3 linked regions of the Elephas maximus indicus genome follow. The protein of the gene in region 2 purifies or fractionates together with the protein of the main gene of each other region. This does not show direct contact. Links are inferred from orthologs where the notes say so. Each region holds a gene or a part of one and is shown on either strand. Other genes may lie near its edges. The genes, in order: SIGMAR1, NPC1 and PON2.

Region 1 (6,932 bases), on a different chromosome or scaffold from region 2:
GTGGTCTTATAGATAGGGAAACTAAGGCACACAGCAATACAGAGGCCTTCCTTAGGTCTTCCAGGAGTTAGCAGCTCTTCCTGCTGCTCGGACAACACAAAGAAATGTAACTGTTTGACAGGTCTTTATTAACATAGAGGACAGAGAATGCAGCAGGGGCAGTGTCTGGAAGCTGTGAGGTGTGTGCGGAAGGGCGATGTGAGTGTGCAGAGCGGGCCTTCTCTAAGCCAGGGATGGCCTCTTGGACTCAGTGTCACCTCTTCAGGCCCTCTCCTCAGTAGTGGGCCCTGGGCTGGGGTCAGCCTCCCATCATACCCCCAAGCGGGGGATGGGGGTCCTTCAGGGTAGTAGGGTCCTAACCTCAGCATTCTCAAGTTCCTGATTCCCCAGCTTATTTGGTTGCTGATGGAGTTGGGGACAGTCCATGGGGCACTTGCATAGCAAGGAAGCAGAATGAGTGTAAGGCATATGGTGAGGGCAAGGGAGATGAAGGGGAAGGGCATCACAGCTACAGGGAAAGGAGGCCTCCAAAGGGCAGCTTCTCTTCTTCCTAGCCCCTCCAAATTACTGCTAGGTTGAGGGGTCAGACCCAGGCAGAGTGTAATACTCACCCCATCCCTAACTCCAGAGCCCTGATTGAGGGTGGGGAAGGTTTAGAAAGGCCCGAGTTAGAGAGTCAAGCTTATGCTATATGTGTTTGAACATGACTGCCCTCCTTGGTACACGTGGGGCTCCCTCTCTCAATGGGTGTGAGCACATGATTGCTGTCATACCTACAGATCTCAGTATCTGCATATGTGTTTCATATGTTCCCACCGGTCTCTGTGTTTGGATGTATAAGCATATTATGTCCCTGCTTGTACACCAGGAACTCAGTATCTGCATGGTATGAGTATGTTCCCAAACACATGGGCTCCAGCAAGTGGACATGTGCAGGCCTGCCCGCTCCTGTCCATCCACAGGTCCTCCTTCTGGCCCTGCTGGTCAGTGGTCCTGGCCAAAGAGGTAGGTGGAAAGCTCAAGCCGGAGGCCCCGGGCATAGGCACGAAGAGTATAGAAGAGAGTGAGGAAGTCTTGGGTGCTGAAGACTGTGTCAGCCAGTGCGAAGGCCAGGGTAGATGGGATGACACCCCGGCCGTACTCCACCATCCACGTGTTCGGCCCCCACTCCACAGCTGTTGCCTCTCCAGGCCCGTGCATCACTGTCTCCCCTGGGGGACAGGGAGCACCCATGTGAGAAGCCCAGCCCAGCCCAGCCCAGCCCTGCCCTGCCCCTCCATTGCTGCTGCTTCTATAGCCTTTTGGCTGTCTAGGTTGGAGAATAGAGAGGGAGCTTCAGGAAAGGAAAAAGCCCTACCTCACTGGCCTGGTCTACTATCTGGAAGAGTAAGAAGCCCAGATGGCCACTCCTACATATCCCTCTGTGGCATCACCTGACCCATGACTTCTCTTGGGGAAAGCCATGGAGGGCCATTGGGAAGCAGACCCATTTCACCTCCATCTCACCTGGCCATGGGCCACAGTATGAAAGTCATACCCAAGCCCCACTCAAGTCAGGCAGAAATCTAGCAAACCTTAGGCTAGGCCTGTTAGATAGGGAGGGGTGGTTAAAAGACTTGCGAGGCTTTCTGAGAAATGCAGCTATTGAATCCCGATGCCTGGGGTGCTTGTATCAATCAACCTCAAATTTACTTGAAAGTCCAAAGCTCAATTTTCTATGTAAATGCTTCATTATGGCGGGGGGGAAGACAACTGTTTGCCTTGAGGGTATGAGAGCATTTCTGATTACCCAACTGTCTCCTCCACAATTGTTGGATACTGGCTAAGTAGAATAGATAGATAAAAATCAGACATCTTTAATAGCAAGCTGTTATGTTTTTTTTTCTCTTTGTCAGAGGAAAGCAATAGGGGCCCTAGGCCCTGGTCCAACCAACAAACCACTTGTGGCTTAAGGGGGGGGACCACGGCGAGGACCCTCCAGGGCACCCTTTCCCAAAGCCATGGCTCCCTAACCCAACTGTGGACACACCCAGGTGGAGGGGACCCAGCTCTCTGACAGCCTTTCCACCCACCTGGATAGAAGACCTCACTTTTGGTGGTGCCCTCTCTCCACTGGTGGAAGGTGCCAGAGATGATGGTGTCCGAGATCTCAGCCCAGTAGCGCCCTGAGGGAAAATCAGATGAACATCGTATATCAGGGTATCCGCGGCGGCACATGATGGCGCCAAATATCAGAAACGAGGGTATGCCCCCCGGCCTCCTAGTCCGGCCCGCCGCCAGTACTGACCAGAGTGGCCGCTGGAGCCCAGGGCGGTGCCAAAGAGCAGCACGTACTCGGACAGCGAGGCGTGCAAAAGGCACATGGCGCCCATCCAGCCACCCGCGTTCACGAACACCCATTGCAGCTCCTCGTCGGGCAGCACGTGGCCTGGGTGCAGTCGCCGCAGCTCCACGATCAGCCGAGAGAAGGCCAGCTCGTGGTCCAGCCCTGGCGAGGGCAGAGGAGTGGCGGAGTTAGGGCCGGCATCGGTCCTGGACTCGGGGACCGTACTCTCGGCCGGCCCGCCTCCTGACCAGCCCCGGGTCTCTCTCGTCCACCCGGGCTCGACCCAGACTGCCCGTCTCCCGCCCGCTCACCCGCATACTGCCGTGCCAGCTGCGCGATCTCTTCGTGCTGGAAGACGAAGCTCTGCGTACCCAGCCAGAGCCAGACGACTTGCGCCAAAACAGCCGCGGCAGCCAAAAGCAGCGCGGCCCACGCCCACCGCCGACCTACGACCCACTGCATCCTGGATGGCGGCCTGGCACAGCGCGGCGTAGGAGGCGACCTGGAGTCGAGCCGGAGCCTGTGGCCGTGACACTGCCTACAAGCCCAAGGCGCTCCGCCACCGACCAGCTCCGCGGCTACCGCCGTGGTATGGCTCGATCTGGCCAATCGGAACGGCCTAGGCACCCGAGCACCGCCCCTCGGGCGGAACCATTTCCTCGAGGGGAGAGCGGAGAGGTGAGGCGGCACGCGCACCTGAGGCGAGGGGGCGGGCCAAAACGTCGTCTTGGCGGCTGACGTCGAGGACGCCAGGCAGGGTCTCTCCTAACGCAACGCTGCATGGAGTCGGTTTGGGCGGAGTGAGGCCGGAATGGACTGACCCGCCTAAGCCCACTGGCTGGTGAAGCAGGCGATCCCGGAAGCAGAGCCTTCCGGGATCTGTGATTATTACCGCCTGGTTTTGCTAGCACGGAACCGGGAGTGGGGGGCGCTGGGGGGAGAACGCAGTTCATCCTGGGGGCGTAGGGAAGGCTGGCGGGGACACCAACGGTGTCTTTAAGAAAGATGGGAACTTAAGGTGATGGAAAATTTGGCAACGGATACTGGTGATGGCTGCACAACACCGTTAATGTAATTGGTGTCACCAAATTGTACACGTGAAAAATTGTACATGTTGAATTGGCAAATGTGTTATATATATTTTTACAAAGATTAAAAAAAAAAAAAGATGGGGCAGGCTTTCCAGCTTAGGGGACCAAGATTGTTCTGAAAGACAAAGTGTGAGAAGGGGGCCTTGTAAATCCCTGAGGGTTATCAGTTGGGGAGTGATGAGATCACATTTGGGGCTACAGAGTAGAGATTAAATTGGAGGGGGGCAAGATGAGAGTCAGGGAGATCGTGACTATGGAAGCAGCAGTCAAGAAATCAAAGGACCTATTGCATTGGGCAAATCTGCTACAAAAGACCTCTTTAAAGTGTTAAAAAGCAAAGATGTCACTTTGAGGACTAAGGTGCAACTGACCCAAGCCATGGTATTTTCAATTACCTCTTATGCATTTGAAAGCTGGACAATGAATAAAGGCCAAAACTATGGTGTTGGCGAAGAATATTGAATATACCGTGGGCTGCCAGAAGAACAAACAAATCTGTCTTGGAAGATGTGTGCAGCCAGAATGCTCCTTAGAAGTGAGGATGGCAAGATTTCCTCTCACTTTGAACATGTTATCAGCAGGGACCAGTCCCTGGAGAAAGCAGAGGGTGAGCAAAAGAGAGGAAGACCGTCAACAACATGAATTGACACGGTGGTTGCAACAATGGGCTCAAGCATGACAACAATTATGAGGATGGCCCAGGACCTAGCAGTGTTTCATTCTGTTGTACTTGGGTCACTATGAGCTGGAACCAACTTGGTGGCACCTAACAACAACAAAGATGAGAGTCAGGGAGACCATGACTATGGTCCAAGTGAGAGAGGAGGTCTGTGTCTGTAGAGATGGAAAAAAGAAATGAGCGTGAGAAGTACATTGGAAACAAAGTTGGGAGGACTTGATTCCCTCTTCCTGGAATACTCTTTTCCCTCCATTCTAACTCCCCCTTATTTGGCTAACATCCTTGTTCATGCCCAATGGGCAGCTGAGTACTCTGGTCTGGAGCTCAGATCCAGTCAGAGAGCTAGGAGTTGTCATTCATTCAGGCAACAGATGTTTTCTTAGCACCTGTATGTACCAAGTTCTGTGGTGGCTGATATGGCAAGCATAATTCCCAACCCATCTTAGAGATCTCATGGGGGAGCCTACATAAAAGGTGGTAATTAAAACCTAAGAAAGTGAATAAAATCTCACAGGAAGGGAGTACAGAGAAAGATAAAGCCAAGCCTAGAGCCAGCACTTAAGAGATAGAGGAAGGAAGAAGTGACCAAAAAGGAAGAGAAGTAAAAGAAATAAAAGAGGCAGCATAGTGCAGTGATTAAGCAATAAGCCTTGGAGGTGGACTGCCTGGGTTCAAAGCTCGGCTCCTGCTACCTACTACTTCTGTTATCTTGAACAAGTTACACTCTGTGACCTAGTTTCCTCAACTATAAAATAGGATAAAGAACCTACCTCACAAGTGCTGTTATGAAGATTAAATAAGTTAATATTTATAAAGCAATTAGTGCCTGGCATGTGGTTATGTGGTGAGCATTATATGTGTTAGTAATAAAAATAAAATATAAAGGAGAAGAGAACTGGAAGAGAGTAGTCTCACACATGGGAGTAACAGAATGAAGGGTCAACACAGTCAAAAGTAACTGAGAGGTCCAGTAAAGTGATGGGAAGTGGTCATGAGATTTCTCAGTAGGGGCATGTGGCAGAGACAATGTTAAGCATTCATAAATCTATTTCCTTTTGCTCTCAAGCAAACGGATTACATTCCACAGTCTACTTGGTAGTTAGAAGGAACCATGTAATAGGCAGAAATAATATATGGCACTTACAGGTCTGGCTCCAAAAGTCTCCAGTGAAATTACTTACCTTCTCACTCTACCTCATCTATTGTCTTGGATCTAGTGGAGAATTTGAGGCCCTAGGAAATGGCAGAGCTACTAGATGGATGGAGCCTGGGTCCCTGAAAGCTGCATGGAACAGAGTCTCCCCCCGCCCCGCCCCCCCCCCCCCCCCCCCGTGAACTGTGGTGCTACGCGATTGAGTTTTGGGGGTTGTTTGTTACACCAATGGGTTTGAATTTTTTTTTTTTTGGTATAGCCCTCTTACCCATCCCACTGTGCTTTTGGTCTCTGTGTATGTGTGTATGTGAGAGAGATATAATACGGTTACTTAGCCTTTTTGGCAAACCTATTTCTGCTGCCTGGTGGGGAAAGGGTACGGAAATGCTAAGTATCCATTCCTCCCGGTAACATCTGAGGTCAGGGTTCTGATATAGCAGATCAAGCCCCCCCGCCCCCCACCGCAAAGTAGACGCTGAGCAGGGAACTGACGTGATTGTGGATCCAGGAGTCATGCACTTACTCTGCCTTAGAACGTAAAATGTGGGAAGGCAGAAACCATGCCTGACTTGTGCACATAGGGATAGTCCTTGTGCCACGCACAGCCTAGGTGCCTGGCATATGGTAGATATTCAGTAATATTTGTTGAGTGAATGACCAAATAAATAAATGAATGCAGCAAAGAGTTCTTGTAAGCATCCAGGCATCGAGATACTCTGCAGTAGGCAGCTTTCACAAAGGTTCTTCCAGAAGAGAGGTTTCCACCCGAGATAAGAGTGCCTCTCGCGAGCTCCTCCCCCAGGAGGCCGGGCGGGCCTCTCAAGCAGTCACGTGCTGGCGACCGGCCAATCGGTAGGGGCGGGGCAGGCCCCGACTGGAAGGGCGAGGGGCGGCCCGGCAGACGTTCCAGTGGGATCTCCGGGTTGGCGTAATGTCGCTTTCTGGAACCGGCACTGGGCAGCGCCAGCAGGCGTCAGAGGCGGACGCCACAGAAACAACTTTCCGGGCGAGTGGTAATTGCAGGGCGGCCGGGACCCACAGGGACGCGGAGCGGAGCCCAGCCCTTATTCTGGACGTTCTCTCCCCACCCGCAGGGTCCGAACGCCCACGCTTGGCCAGGCCGGCGGGGCGAAGGGAGACCCCGGTGTTTAGGCTGCAGGCCAGGCGACGCTGGGAAGGTCCAAGCCCGGACCTTTGGGTCAGGAGCAGGGCGGGACCGAGAGGGCGCCTCTGAGCTAGGGCTGCTAGTCGGTGAGACCCAGGGGATAGCGGGCGGTACAGCGCTTGCTGATTGACCTTGACCGTCTGCCCCTAGAGCATCAGCATATTCGCTACAATCCGCTGCAAGATGAGTGGGTGCTGGTGTCAGCTCACCGCATGAAGCGGCCCTGGCAGGGACAAGTGGAGCCCCCGCTTCTGGAGACAGTGCCGCGCCATGACCCCCACAACCCTCTGTGTCCTGGGGCCACACGAGCCAACGGAGAGGTAAGCTTTTAGAGCCCACATTCGCTGGGCCAGCACGAGTGGCACCCACTTAGAACTGCCCCTCACCGACGGGGCTGTGGACCTCCTTCTGAGTCAGATCCCATCAAGCCTTTGTTTGTTCCCCAGAGTGGGCCCTTGAAGCCCACCTGATAGCTAGTAGTATGGGGCAGCATCCCCATAGCTCATCCTTGCTACTAG
Region 2 (7,394 bases):
GTAAAAATCCCCCTAAAAGGAACTGCAAACCTTGTGAAGGGCAGTTAGGCTGCAGTCCTGTGATAGAACTGTAACAGTACTCAGACCAAAGCCAGGAGCTGCTATCACAATCTGTTCTGCTTCAAGGTTCCAATCCACCTGCAGGTATACTGAAAGCCTCTGCAACAAGGAGGACATTACTTTTTAAAATAACTACAAGTGTTTCTTGTTAAAGGCTTCCAGGCATTTTGCAAAAGTCATGACTAACCTCTGATGACCTATCCCAAATGTCCTAGGAGAGAAACTCTTCTGCCACCAGCCTTAGATACTTGTTGTTGCTGTTAGGTGCTGTCGAGTCACTTCCGACTCATAGTGACCCTACGTACAACAGAATGATGGAATTCACCGGCGTTCCTGGGAAACCCTATGGGCAGTTCTAGAGACTCTATAGGGTTGCTATCAGTCAGAATCGACTCCACGGCAACAGGTTTGGTTTGGTTTGGTTCCATCCTCAGGATTGTTGCCGTACTTGAGCCCATCTAAAAAAACTGGCCAGTGAAAAACTTTGATAAAAAGATTTAAAAGGATTTCAGATAAATTAAAGCTATTTAATAATATGAAGCCTATTAGGTCTTTATCTAAAACTCTAGGGAAACTGAATAGCTCTACTTTAGGGCACATAATTCCTTTTATTTCTTTGGTTTTTATCCAAGAGGTATGGTGATGGGGTCTCTCCGTATATCATGTCACTTAATAACCCCAGTAACTCTATTCTCAGAAGAGACTAAGGTTGAGAGAGCAACCTGCTCAAAGCTACAGAGCTAGTGAGTGGCCCACCTGTTGACCTCACCTCAAACCCCTTCCTTCCCAACCAGGTGCCCTTGGGTTCATTGCACTACCAGAAGTATGCTCTTGTACAACCTCACACTGCTGCCCTCCCCAAGCAACCACACACAGGAAGGAGCCACCTCTTCCCTTGGCTCTTCATCCTTCACTGGGTCAACATCACCTATCACCTCCCAGGAACCACACAGTAGAAGTTTAAAGAGAGGTTTTTCTAGTCCAGGGAACCTCTTAATCTATCTTCCTCTCTGATCCACTGGACCCCTCAACACTGACACTCCTGTTTGAGGGGGTTTGTGGGCACAAGGGCACAGTCCCCGGCTGTAACAGGATGTCCCAGAGGTTCACTTTTCCATTTTTTTTAAACTGTACTTTAGATGGACATTTACAGAGGAAACTAGCTTCTTATTAAATAATATACATATTGTTTTGTGACACTGGTTGTCAAACCCACAATATGTCAACAGTCTCCCCTTCTCAACCTTAGGTTCCCCATTACCAGCTTTCCTGTCCCCTCCTTCTTTCTCATCCTTGCCCCTGGGCTGGTGTGTCCATTTAGTCTCGTTTTGTTGTGTGGGCCTATCTAATCTGTGACTTCATTACTGAGCTATAAGGATGTCCAGGGGTCATACTCTTGGGGTTTCTCCAGTCTCTGTCTTTTTTTTTTTGTTAGTTAGAATTTTGTTGTACGTTTTTCTCCAGCCCTGTCCGGGAACCTCTATTGTGATCCCTATCAGAACAGTTGGTCATGGTAGCCAGGTACCATCCAGTTGTATTGAACTCAGTCTGGTAGAAGCTGTGGTACCTGTGGTCCATCGGTCGTTTGGACTTATCTTTCCCTTGTGTCTTTGGTTTTCTTCATCCTCCCTTGCTTCAGACAGAGTGAGACTAGTGGAGTATCTTAGATGGCTGCTTACACGCTTTTAAGACCCAGATGCTACTCACCAAACTAGAATATAGAACATTTTCTTTATAAACTATATTATGCCAGTTGGGCTAGATGTTCCCCAAGACCATGGTTCCCACCACTCTTTCATCCTAATCCAGTGTAATCAGCATTATATCCTCCAAACACTCCCACCCCAGTTTTCAAAGGGAAAACTCTGGACACACAAACAGCAATGAGGCACTCATGCCCAGGCTCCAAATCCAAGAGAATGCAGGTCCAGGGAGTGGGACGCCTGAGTTCCAGGTCCCATCCTGTCACTAGCTAGTATCCTGACAAGGGAATTCAATTGTCCCCTATGGACCTCAGTTTCCTGAGATACAGAAAAGTTGGGAAGAAGAAACCTGCACTCTTCACAACACCAAGCCGACTTACATAAAGCACTTTAGACTGTTCCGATTCAGTACTTAAAGAATTTTGTTTGTTTTCGTGGTCAGATCTTGTAAAAAAATTTATAAAGAGTTCATGTACATGTGGCAGGAAAAAAAAAGGCAGGGTAAATAAATAGGTCAAACCCTGGTGGTGGTGGTGTGGTTAAGTGCTACGACTGCTAACCAAAAGGTTGGCTGTTGGAATCCACCAGGCGCTCCTTGGAAACTATGGGGCAGATCTACTCTGTCCTGTAGGGTCGCTATGAGTCGGAATCGGCTCGACGGCAGCGGGTTTGGTTTTTTTTTTTTTTTTTTTTTGGTTACCCTTCTCTATCTTCTCTTCTTCTCCCTTCTGGTCCCAAAGCCTAAGCCCAGAATCAGGTGATCACAGCTGAAGCGAGCTCGAAACAGGTCAAACGAGCTGTCCCCAGTTACCCATCCTCTTCCAGATCACAAGGGAATAGAGCTTGGCAGGAGACAGACGAGAGAAGTGGGGGACCTCGGGGACCCCATCAGTCGACCAACTTCCCCAGAGCCGGCCGGGCCCGCGCCGCCTGGGGGTACCGGGCGCCTGAGCCGCGGCAAGGCAGGGGCACGGCCCGGCGCCCCCGACTCTGGGCCCACCACGTCCCCCACAGCCCGCTCGGGTCACCGGCGGCCGCTCACCTGCGCCAGACAGAGCAGCAGCAAGAGGATGCTGAGGGCCGGGCTGCGCGCTCTCATGGTGCCGCCGCACGGAGCTTGGTCACAGATGCTCGGGTCCGTTCGGCTCCACGTCCCGGGTGCCGCCTCACTTCCCTGGGCTGAGTTTGTGGACCTAGCGCCGGCTGAGCGAGGGAGCAAGCGCGGGCAGCTGAGAGCTGCGCGCGCAGGTCAGGAAGGGAGGAGGTGTCGCCGGTCCCTCCTCCTTCTGGGCGGGGCCGCTGCCGAGACTCCAGGGCCGACTCGGGGCGGGGCCGGGGGCGGGGCCGGGGCCGGGGGCGGGACTGTGCGGCACTGCCCAGGCGATTTCTCCGGGTACCGGCGTTGTAGGTCTCCTCCTGGGTGCGGCGTGGGGCTGGGGCTGGGGGTAGCTTCTGGGGTTCCCCAGACCTGGGCAAGCTGAACTTTTGGAATCCGACCCGGAGGATATTTCTGCAGTCGTGCCAACAGTACATGATTTTGGTGCTTTAACGGGTTTCCTTCCTTTTTGCCTCTCCTGTCCGCAACTGGAAACCCTGGTCGCATAGTGGTTAAGAGTTTGGCTGCTAACCAAAAGGTCGGCACTTCGAATCCACCAGGCGCTCCTTGGAAACTCTATGTGGCAGTTCTACTCTGTCCTATAGGGTCGCTATGAGTCGGAATCGACTCCACAGCAACGGTGTTTTTATCTGCAACGGATCGTAGGGATGGCGCGGGACCTGGCAGCGTTTAGTCCTGTTGTGCATGGAGTCGCCGTGAGTGAGTGAGACTCAAGGGCGGCTAACAATAACAGGTTGGAGGCGGCTGAGATAAGTGCTCGGAGCAGTTTCTCCTCCCAAACTCAGTCAGCCAAAAGGAATGGGGCACCAGCTCGGGGCGATGACGCACAATGGCCTGATTCTGTAGATCCGGAGCGCGGGTGGGGGGTGGGAGGCGGGAGCTCGGAGATGGGTGGAGCCCCTTAGTCACCCTAACTTTGTTTACTGTCAACGCAGCCGCGTTTGGAGAAAGCGTTAGAACCGCGCCACCTGCTGGCGGAGCAAAGCGTAGCAGTGAGCCCTTTGGCGCGGGGACACTCCCGGCGGGGGCCTGCAACGCCTATTTTGAAGCTCTAGGTGAAGTCGACGACGGCAGTGGGTTTTTGGTTTAGGTGAAGTTAGGTAACACGAAGATTGAAGTAGACGTGTCTTTGTTCATGAGTCTTGCACTTATATATACATATCTATATATTTGCATTTCACTTATTTTTTATTGTATACATTTCTGGTAACATTTTCCCTCGGATTTTAATTCTTCAGACCACTCAAAATCATCAGTCTTTTCCATTTTGAAGTTAAGGAAATGCAAGTAAGGATCTATTTACCCAAGAGTGGAAGCCAGTTTTGAAGGAAAAGACTATCCACCTGTATGAAAGAACAAAACCAGTGCAAGGTCTTACTACGATGGAGGTGACACTTGTTCTGTGTGCCCACCCTTACTCTATCAGTCTTAGAAGAAATACAAACAGAATGCTCCTTAGAAGCAAAGATGGAAAGACTTTGCCTTGTTTATTTTGGACACCTCATCAAGAAAGACCAATCGGTAGAAAAGGACATCATGTATGGTAAAGTGGAGGGTCACTGGAAACGAAGGAAACCCTCCATGAGATGAACAGACACAATAGCCCTAACAGTGGCCTCAAACATACCAACAGTCATGAAGATGGCGCAGAACTGGGCAACGTTTCGTTCCGTTGTACGTAAGGTCATCACGAGTCAAAGCCAACCCCATGGCAGCTAACAACAATCCCTACCTACGGAGGCTGTTTCAGTTGCTCTCTTGCCTCCCCACCTCCTCAGCCCTGACACATCCACCTGAATGCCCTGGTAGTGAAACTATAGGCATTTCCTCCGGACTTTCAGCCCTGGATCTTCCGTGACTACCTCCTGGCCCTCATTCAAATGTGTGCTCCCCCATTCCCCAGACTCCTGCACTTGGTGGTTCAGCTGATGACAAAGTAGTATGTTCTAATGTGGTGGCTTTCAAAGTGTGGTCACCTAATGGTCTCAGGGGACATCTACGTCGGTTAGCATAACATAGTACATAAAGAAAATGTTCTACATCCTACTTTGGTGAGTAGCATCTGGGGTCTAAAAAGCTTTTAAGTGGCTACCTAAGATACATCTATTGGTCCCATCCTGTCCGAAGCAAAGGAGAATACTAGTCCAAAGTACTAATGGACCACATGGACCACAGCCTCCACCAGCCTGAGCTCAGAAGAACTAGATAGTGCCCAGCTACTACCACCCACCACTCTGACGGGGATCTCAATAGAGGGTCCCAGACAGTGCAGGAGAAAAATGTAGAACAAATTTCAAATTCACAAAAAAGACCAGACTTACTGGTCCAACAGAGACTAGAGGAATCCCTGAGACTATAACCCCTGGAAAACCTGCTAACTCAGAACTGAAATCACTCCTGAAGTCCACCTTTCAGCCAAAGAGTAGACGGACCTATAAAACAAACAATAACACATGAGGGATGTGCTTCTTAGTTCAATCAACAAGACCAAATGGACAACACCTGCCCAAAAGCAAAGATGAGAAGGTAGGCAAGGACAGGAAAACTGGATGGATGGACACAGGGAAACCGGGGTGGAAAGGGGTAAAGTGCTGACACATTGCAGGGATTGCAACCAATGTCATAAAACAATTTGTGTATAAATTTTTGAATGAGAAACTAATTTGGACTGTTAACTTTCACCTAAAGCACAATTAAAAAAAAAAAAAGTGTGGTCACCTGACCAGCGGCATCAGCATCACTTGGGAACTTGTTAGATATGCAAATTCCCAGGCTACACCCCAGATCTGCTGAATCAGGAACTCTAGAAGTGGGGCCCAGCTTAACAGTTGATTTGGATGCAGACTCAAGTTTAAGAACCTCTGTTGTAATGTATTTCCTGGATCCTGGTAGGTTACTTATCCTTCTAATTTTCACAAAGTCTTTATGGAAAAAGAGAAAAAGAAAAACCTTACTAAGTAACTGATGTGAGTAAAATAAATTTCAGGCACCATATGAGACATGTGGGGGATGTGCAGGATTTTTTTTCTTTCTTTTTTTATTAATTTTGTTGTGAATATACACAGCAAAACATACACCAATTCAATTGTTTCTACATGTACAATTCAGTGACATTGATTACACTCTCCAAGTTGTGCAACCATTCTCACACACCTTTTCTCAGTTGTTCCCCCTCCATTAACATGAAGTCATGGTCCGCCTAAGGTTCCTATCTCATCTTTCAAGTTGCTCTTGTCAATTTGATCCCATCTAGATAGTTCTTAAGAGAATAATGCTCAAGGCATTTTTTTACTAGTTAAGCTAAACTATTGTTTGGTTTTAAGAAGACTTCAGGGAATGTTTTTGGTTTAAAGTTTAAAGCTTATCTCAGGGCAATAGTTTCAGGGGTTCATCCAGCCTCCATGGCTCCAGAAAGTCTGGAGTCTATGAGAATTTGAAATTCTGTTCTCCATTTTCTCCCTTTTGATAGGGATTCTTCTACATAATCTTTGATCAAAATGTTCAGTAATGGTAGCTGGGGACTATCCAGTTCTTCTGGTCTCATGGCAAAGAAGGCTGTTGTTCATGGAGGCAATTAGCCACACGTTCCATATCCTCCTCCTATTCCTGACTCTCCTTCTTCCTCTGCTGCTCCAGGCCAATAGAGGCCAATTGTTCCTAGATGTCCCCTTGCAAGCTTTTATGACCCCGGGCACTATGCAACAAACTAGGAGGTAGAACAGAAGCACTGAATAAGTTATTACACCAGTTAACTGGGATGTCCTATGAAACCATGACCCTAAAACTCCAAACCAAGCAACCAGATTCCCTGAGGGTTTTGGTTGTACATAAGCAACCTCAGCAGCTACTCTTTTTTTTCCCCATTGTAAGTATATCTATCACATGACTTTCACCAATTCAAGTTTTTACAGGTGTATGACTTAATGATAGCAATTATAGTAATCGGCTGTGCAACCCTACCCTTAATTGATGAGATTTTCCCATTACTGTTAATCCCTCATTCCCACTCTTCCTCCTGCCTCTGGTAAACCACTAATAAACTTTGGTCTCTATACTTTTTGATGGACAGAATTTTTTTTTAAATAATTTTTATTGTGCTTTAAGTGAAAGTTTACAAATCAAGTCAGTCTCTCACACAAAAACCCATATGTACCTTGCTACACACTCCCAATTATTCTCCCCCTAATGAGACAGCCCGCTGTCTCCCTCCGCTCTCTCTTTTCGTGTCCATTTCGCCAGCTTCTAACCCCCTCCACCCTCTCATCTCCCCTCCAGGCAGGAGATGCCAACATAGTCTCAAGTGTCCACCTGATCCAAGAAGCTCACTCCTCACCAGCATCCCTCTCCAACCCATTGTCCAGTCCAATCCATGTCTGAAGAGTTGGCTTCGGGAATGGTTCCTGTCCTGAGCCAACATAAGGTCTGGGGGCCATGACCACCGGGGTCCCTCTAGTCTCAGACCATTAAGTCTGGTCTTATGAGAATTTGGGGTCTGCATCCCACTGCTCTCCTGC
Region 3 (7,244 bases), on a different chromosome or scaffold from region 2:
ATTGGAAATAAAGAAAAACTCGTCCTTCACTAGACAGTTTGAGAAGCACTGACATAAGGTATCATTATTTTTGAAATTTTGCTTAAAAACCATAAAATTTCTAATTATAATCTAATCTTAAGTTATTATTTGATAAAGACTGTTCATACCAAGTATAAGGAGTTGCCAGCATATAAACAGGTTCCAGGGAAATTTGTTTTATATTCAGTAACTTGGTTATTTGGTACTCAGAACCAATTTTCCACATGAAATAACATAAACTGGGGGTTATGTTCTTGGTGTAGCCTATAAATCCCAGTTATCTCAAAACATTGTTAAGCTCTCTTATAACATTTAATAGCCAGTAATAACAGATATAATATTCTTAGAGGAGCCCTGGTGGTACAGTGGTTAAAGTGCTGGGCTGCTAACCAAAATGTTCTTTGTTCGAACCCACCAGCTGCTCCACGGGAGAAAGATGTGGCAGTCTGCTTCTGTAAAGATTTACAGTCTTAGAAACTGTATAGGGCAGTTCTACTCTGTCCTGTAGGGTTGCTGTGAGTCAGATGGCAATGGGTTTAGTTTTAGGGGCCCTGGTGGCGCGGCAGTTAAGATCTATGGGGAGCTACAGCTGCTAACCAAAAAGGTTGGCAGTTTGAATCTACCAGCCACTCTTTGGAAACCCTGTGGAGAAGTTCTGATCTGTCCTATAGGGTTGCTATGGGTCAGAATCGACTTGATGGCAATGGGTTTTATGACATTCTTGGGGACACTGATGGTTCAGTGGTGACATTCTTGCCATATTTACAGGAAACTGGGCTTGATTCCAGCCGGTGAACCTAACGTGACACTTGTCTGTCAGTGGAGGCTTGTGTGTTGCTATGATGCTGAACAGGTTTTAGCAGAACTTCAAGAATAATAGGGACTGGGAAGAAAGGCGTGGCCATCTACTCCAAAAATCAGCCAGTGAAAACCCTACGGATCACAACAGTCCAATCAGCAACCAGTCATGGAGATTGTGCAGGACCAGTAGCATTTTCTTCCATTGCACATGGGTGACCATGAGTTGGGAGCAACTCAGAGGCAGCTAGCAACAAACCCCATAACGTAACAACTGGAAAAGATATATGTTTCTGATTTCCTAATCGGAAAATATCTCTTCCCACCCACCTGTGAGAAATGATGATTTCTAGCCCTAGCATGGTAGTGGGGCTGAGAAGATAGAGCTTGTGGGAGCTCATTGGTCATGTTAGTAAAAATTGAAATGACGTTTCTCTAAGATTCTCTAAGATTGTGGTTAGGTAGGTTTTGCTGGACTCGAAAGCCCTGGTTCTTTACCACAACTGCCTCTGTGCTAAATTCCAGGACACTGTTCTCTTTGGAATAGCTTGGCTGCTTGCCAAAAGGTGAGCAGTTTGAATCCACCAGCTGCTCCTTGGAAACCCTATGGGGCAGTTCTACTCTGTCCTATAGGATTGCTGAGTTGGAATTGACTCTACGGCAACAGGTTTGGTTTGGCTTTGGTTCTCCTTGACTTCCCAGCACCAAGATGGCAAATAGGGTTCATCCTGGATTGAGATCTGTCAGTGGCCACTTCAGGGATTTGTATTTCTCTTTTTCTTTTGTTTTTTGAAAAGATTGTGAGGACAAGTCTGGTCTTGGTAAGAAATTAGTGATGTCTGACATGGGCAAGGGGAGGAGTCAGCACTAGAGCTATTTTTTTTTACAATCTTGAGACCAGCCTAAAAAATGCAGACATTCTACACTTTAATTTCTGTGTAATAGCCAAAAAACAGACCAAACTATGAAGAACATGACTTTTCTAAAAATGGGGAATGATAAAAGGGAAATAACCTTATAGAATAGCATGCAACTAAAACTAAACCAAACCCACTGCCATCAAGTTGATTCTCACTCACAGCGACTCTATAGGACAATGTAGAACTGCCCCCATACGGTTTCCAAGGAGTGCCTGGTGGATTTGAACTGCCGACCTTTTGGTTAGTAGCTGTAGCTCTTAACCATTAGACCACCAAGGTTTCCAGCATGCAACTAGGTTTATCTTATTTAAACAATCTTGGGTTTTCTCATTTTGTGACACATGTAGGGAGTCCTCTGAGTCTGGCTCCTGATTTAGAGTCCATGAGGCATAGGTTTTTGTATTGCCTGTATCCAGGAATCCTTGAGAATAAGGCTTGCAGACTGGCCAAGGGAGAAGCACAGGCAGTTGTTACCGACACTCTGTTTTAGGTCCTCATTTTACATTCTGATTTAATATTTGAGGCTCTTCACTTCTCCAGTGATTGACATCAAAAAACGTCCCTGCCTACCTATACAGATATGCCCCTTTCCACCCCTACCTACACAGACATAGCTTTACCCTATGGAAGGATTCTTTTGTTGTTGTTTGTTGAGAACATACACAGAAAAACATACACCAATTCAACAATTTCTACATGTACAATTTAGTGGCATTGATTACATTCGAGTTGTGCAACCATTCTCACCTTGCTTTTTTGAGTTCTTCCTCCCCCACTAACATAAACTCACTGTACCCTAAAGCTCCTATCTAATCTTTCCAGTTGCTGTTATCAATTTGGTTAAGGAAGGATTCTTAACGCAAGTTACGAAAGGATAGAATTCAGTGGGGTTCATACACCTGGATGAAAAAAAAAATTTTAATTTCACATGGTGCAAATGTTTAATATGATTGGCTGCTAACCAGAAGGTTGGTGATTCAAGTCCACCCAGAGGCACCTCAGAAGAATGGTCTGCTTATCTACTTCCAAAAAATCAGCCATCGAAAACCCTATGGAGCATGGTTCTACTCTGACACACATGGGGTTGCCATGAGTCAATTATGAAAGTAGACAACAAGCTCAGTGGTATTACCAGTACTTCTGACTTTGTTACAAATAGAAATGGCAGTTATTTTCATTATTACATTACAGTTATGGCAGATATCTCGAAATAACATTTAGGCTTATCACTATTTGAAAGAATGGTGCTCCATTTTGTTATTTAATATGTCAATAATGTAGCACACATAATACTATAGCAAAAAATTGTTTTTGTTAATATTTTGATAGTTGCATTTCGAGTCATTGGTTTCCTTTGCAATCCTATGTATTTTATTATATACACTCACAAACATTATTCTGAGAAGGTATCTGTAGGCTCACCAGACTGTCAAAGAGGCATATCACACAAAAAAGGTAAAGCCCCTGGACCTTCGAAGGACAACTGTATCCACCATCCAGTAGAACTCAATATTCATTAGGCCTGAATTAGGCATAAGCACAGACAGAAGGAGGGGAGTCATTTTTGGAGGGAGGCCTTAGGGGGAAGGTGAGAAATTGGCGTCTGCTTTTATTTACTGGTTGTTAGTGAAATCGTTGTTGAGAATTGTTTTAACTGTGACATTTCTGCCTACATACTGTGGTGCTGGGCAAAATGGAAGGCAACGGTGACCTAGCGGTGCCTGGGTCTCCGCTATCAGACCTTCCACAGGCTATAGGGTGAAAAGTAAACACTGAAAATCATTAGCAGCTTATTTCTGATCTACTCATGTATAACTGCCTCAGGCTTAGTGGGTAAGTTTCTCTTTGATACATATACATATGTATATGTTTTCCTTTATTTCTTCACGTTGGTAAAGTTAAAAATAAATTAAAAAAAAAACTTTTAGTCCCATAAACTGGGTTTGGATCAAAAAGAAGTGTCTAAATCCTTAGGTCTCTAGGCTAGATGAAGTATTACTAAAAACAGGATGTTCCTTTCCTCTCATTACCATCCTGTTGTAAAAAGTGGTAATTCCGACGTGAGATACTTACATGTTCGTTTCCTTTTTTTTTTTCCTGGTAATTAAAAAATAAAAAATATTAGTTTCTTATCAGAATAGCGCGTAAGGAACCTCTTGGAAGAGTGGGAAGTGAGAATGGTACGCATACTGCTTTTGGGTTTTGTGTGGGCTGGTTGTTCGGAAAAGGAGGAGAGGGAATTCCAAGTTTCAGCCGTCAGCTTAGACCAGGGCATGGGGGACGGTTCCCCGTGCCATGGAAAGTATCTGGGGAAGTATGCTTTGGGGGACATAGGTTTCTGGGGACAAAGGCCGAGGGCTGGGCCGAGGGCGGAGCCTCCGTGGCCCCGGGACAGGGGCCCCGCAGAAGCCGGTGACGGGGCGGAGCCCGGCCAGGCGCCGGCGTAACAGGGAAGCGGGCACCGCCCGTTGCACTCCCTGCCCAGGCCGGACGAGGCGTGCGCCCGGCTCCCGCGCCATGGGGCGGCTGGTGGCTGTGAGCCTGCTGGGGATATCGCTGGCGCTCCTGGGCGAGAGGTTCCTTGCCCTCAGGTAGGTGAGGCCTTCTCCAATGGAGCCCTCGTGCGCGCAGCCAGGCCAGCGAGGTGTGCCCCCGGACACCCCTCCCCGGCAGCCTGCCCGGGCCCCTGGGTCCCCAGGCTCGGTTGCGGGAGCCCGCAGGCAGCCGCCGGCAAGGGCGGAGGCCGGGATTCCAGAGGCGCGATTCTGGGGCCTGGGACCCTCGGCAGGAGTTGAAGAACTTTTGATTGTCTCTGCTCACTAGTTAGTTGAATATCCCCGCCCCCACGCTCAGCTTTTGGTTAAACCAGCCAAGTTAGGACAGAATCTGGGCAACCTTCTAGACAGTTTCTAAGCCTCTGCTGCTTTCTTTTCAGCCTAGGTTGACAAGCTGTTGCTTTAACGTAATGTTTTAACTTAGAACAAAAGTAATTACTCATGCATTGAAACTTTAATTATAAAGACTTATTTGAGGTCATTGGTATTGCTTTTCTTTTGTTGCTCACGCCAGCCCGCGTCCTTAGTAAAATTGTTCTTCATGCTTCTCTGCATAGTTTGAGAAACTTCTGCTCTCTAATCCTGGCCCTGTAGATCAAAAACACTTGAGATACTCAGCTACTGCTCCTACATCACTTCCGTATTTACCTATTCACTTGGGAACCCTAAAGTTCAGAATGCCGAATACATGCAGGCACTACTACAGCTCACATTTTGGTTATAGCCAAAAAAAAAAAAAAAACTGCTGGTGGGTAGACATCATATTTTTTTAAGGTACCAATTCAAATCTTATAAGCCTCATGAAAAAAATTTCAAGAAATCTGGAACACCTAACGATGGATAATATGCTTTTCTAGGTACTTGTAATAGAGTCCTAAGGCATTTACTGTATTGTAAGGGAGGAAGAAATTAAATATATATCCAGGACAGATATAAGCAAACCCCTATAAGGCTTGAAGAGGAGGGATTACCTTCACTGAAGATGGAGTTGAAGAAGGAGGAGGAGACATTGACATTGGCCTTGAAGGATGGGTGGAGCACTCTGGGGATGAAGTAGGCCATACCAGATGGAAAGTGCAGTGTGAGAAAGGGCAGTAAGATGGGAAAGTTAGGAGACTAAAAATAGACCTATTGGAGAGTAGTATAAAGTTAAGGGATGAGAACAGTAGAGGATGGGTAAGGATAGGTTTCGAGACTGTTAAAATATAGGTTGAAAAGTTGGCAAAGGGAGACTATTGATATATATATATATTTCTTGATATATATTTTTTTAAAAAGGATTGTGTGTAACCAGTTGGAAAGAGCCCTGGTGGTACAATGGTTAAAGCACTCAACTGCAAACCAAAAGATCAGTAGGTTGAACTCACCAGCTGCACGGAAAGAGAAAGATGTGGCGGTCTGCCTCCATAAAGATTTAAAGCCTTGGAAACCCTATGGGGTAGTTCTACTTCATCCTCTAGGATCACCGTGAGTCGGAGTTGACTCAACGGCAGTGGGTTTGGTAGGTAACCAGTTACGTTTTCTAGAGATGAACCTGGAAGGATGGAGTGGAGTAGAGCAGTGGTTCTCCATTCCGGCTGCACATCTGGGTCTGCTGAAAGGCTGATGTATAGGTCTCACTCCCAGAGTTTCTGATTCATTTGGTCAGGGTAGGGCCCAGGCATTGGTAGTTTTTATTTTTAAAGGCTCTCCTGATAATTCTAATGTGCAGTCAGGGTTAGAAGTACTAGAACACAGAAGAGTATGCTAGTTATCTGTGGAGTCAACTCCAACTCATGGTGACAGAGTAGGACTGTGTCCATAGAGTTTACAATGACAAATTTTTTTGGAAGTAGATCACCAGGCCGTTTTTCCTAGGTGCCTCTGGGTGCACTAGAACCTCTGACCTTTTGATTAGCAGCCAATCGTGTTAACCGTTTGCATCACTCAGAGACTCCAGAGAGCATAGATACAGGGAAACTAGTTAAGACACTGCAGTACTTTGGAGAGAATAACAAAAGTCCAAACTCCTGAATCCCAGGGATGACAGGGAAGTCAAAGGTGATACTAGAGTTTTGGACTCAACTGTCTAGTGGCTTCATCTGATGAAAAAAGGATGCAAGGAGAGGAGTTACATGTATGGGTAGGGGGTGCCGGATATGAAGGAGGAGGCTTAGAGGTAGGATATGGACCTCCTGAGCTTACCTTTCATGTTATGTAAATATCAATCCTGCTCTGCAGACCATTCCTGAATTGGATGATTTTGTATAATCTGTCCTACCCTCAGTTTCAAAGACAAATCAAAAAACCCAAACTCGTTGCTGTCTAGTTGATTTCGACTCATAGCAACCACCCAAATTCACAAGCCCGTTAAGTTGTCACTGATGTTCACACTACCAAGTTAGAGTTTTCTCCATTAACAGTAAATGTTTTTCTCTTCTTATTAATTTTAAGGTTTTAAATTTAAGCCCTTGAATGAAAACTGTTATAGTTGCAAACTAAGAAAAGGTAAATAAGGCTTATTGACATAGAACACGCCTGATAGGTAATTTATAATTTATTCATCTTTTCTTAATAATGACTGTATGATAAACTTTATTGGGTAATAACTTTATAGGGCAGTAACTTTATTGGATAAGAGGCCTGGTGGTAGAATGGTTAAGCACTTGGCTGCTAACTGAAAGGTTGGTGGTTCAAACCTACCCAGCGGCTATACAGGAGAAAGACCTGGCAATCTGCTTCCGTAAAGATTACAGCCAAGAAAACCCTCTAAGGGCAGCTCGACTCTGTCACATGGTTGCTATGACTCAGACAGAGTCAACTCGATGGCACCCAACAGCAACAACTTTATTAGATAATTGAAGCCCCAAATAAGCTGACGTGAGGATGTTGGTTTGGGATGAGAGTTGCTAGATTTAGCAAATAAAAATACAGACTGGCTGTTGAATTTGAATTTTAGATAAACAACAAA

The links.
Region 1: the proteins of NPC1 (region 2) and SIGMAR1 purify together in Homo sapiens (affinity purification with mass spectrometry; 3 studies listed by BioGRID and IntAct, with this or other methods). This does not show direct contact. The link is inferred for Elephas maximus indicus from reciprocal best matches to the Homo sapiens genes NPC1 and SIGMAR1.
Region 3: the proteins of NPC1 (region 2) and PON2 purify together in Homo sapiens (affinity purification with mass spectrometry; 3 studies listed by BioGRID and IntAct, with this or other methods). This does not show direct contact. The link is inferred for Elephas maximus indicus from reciprocal best matches to the Homo sapiens genes NPC1 and PON2.

Annotation. Positions count from the first base shown.
Region 1 is NC_064827.1:43,461,705-43,468,636, forward strand, and holds SIGMAR1 (sigma non-opioid intracellular receptor 1), read right to left. Parts: upstream 3,022-6,932; 5' UTR 2,789-3,021; coding exon 2,638-2,788; intron 2,489-2,637; coding exon 2,288-2,488; intron 2,166-2,287; coding exon 2,073-2,165; intron 1,212-2,072; coding exon 985-1,211; 3' UTR 110-984; downstream 1-109. Other genes in the region: GALT (galactose-1-phosphate uridylyltransferase), read left to right, coding at 6,181-6,262, 6,565-6,734. UniProt on the Homo sapiens protein: Functions in lipid transport from the endoplasmic reticulum and is involved in a wide array of cellular functions probably through regulation of the biogenesis of lipid microdomains at the plasma membrane.
Region 2 is NC_064829.1:29,736,071-29,743,464, forward strand, and holds the start of NPC1 (NPC intracellular cholesterol transporter 1), read right to left. Parts: upstream 3,072-7,394; 5' UTR 2,863-3,071; coding exon 2,806-2,862; intron 1-2,805. UniProt on the Homo sapiens protein: Intracellular cholesterol transporter which acts in concert with NPC2 and plays an important role in the egress of cholesterol from the endosomal/lysosomal compartment.
Region 3 is NC_064826.1:65,314,672-65,321,915, reverse strand, and holds the start of PON2 (serum paraoxonase/arylesterase 2), read left to right. Parts: upstream 1-4,141; 5' UTR 4,142-4,256; coding exon 4,257-4,330; intron 4,331-7,244. UniProt on the Homo sapiens protein: Capable of hydrolyzing lactones and a number of aromatic carboxylic acid esters. Has antioxidant activity. Is not associated with high density lipoprotein.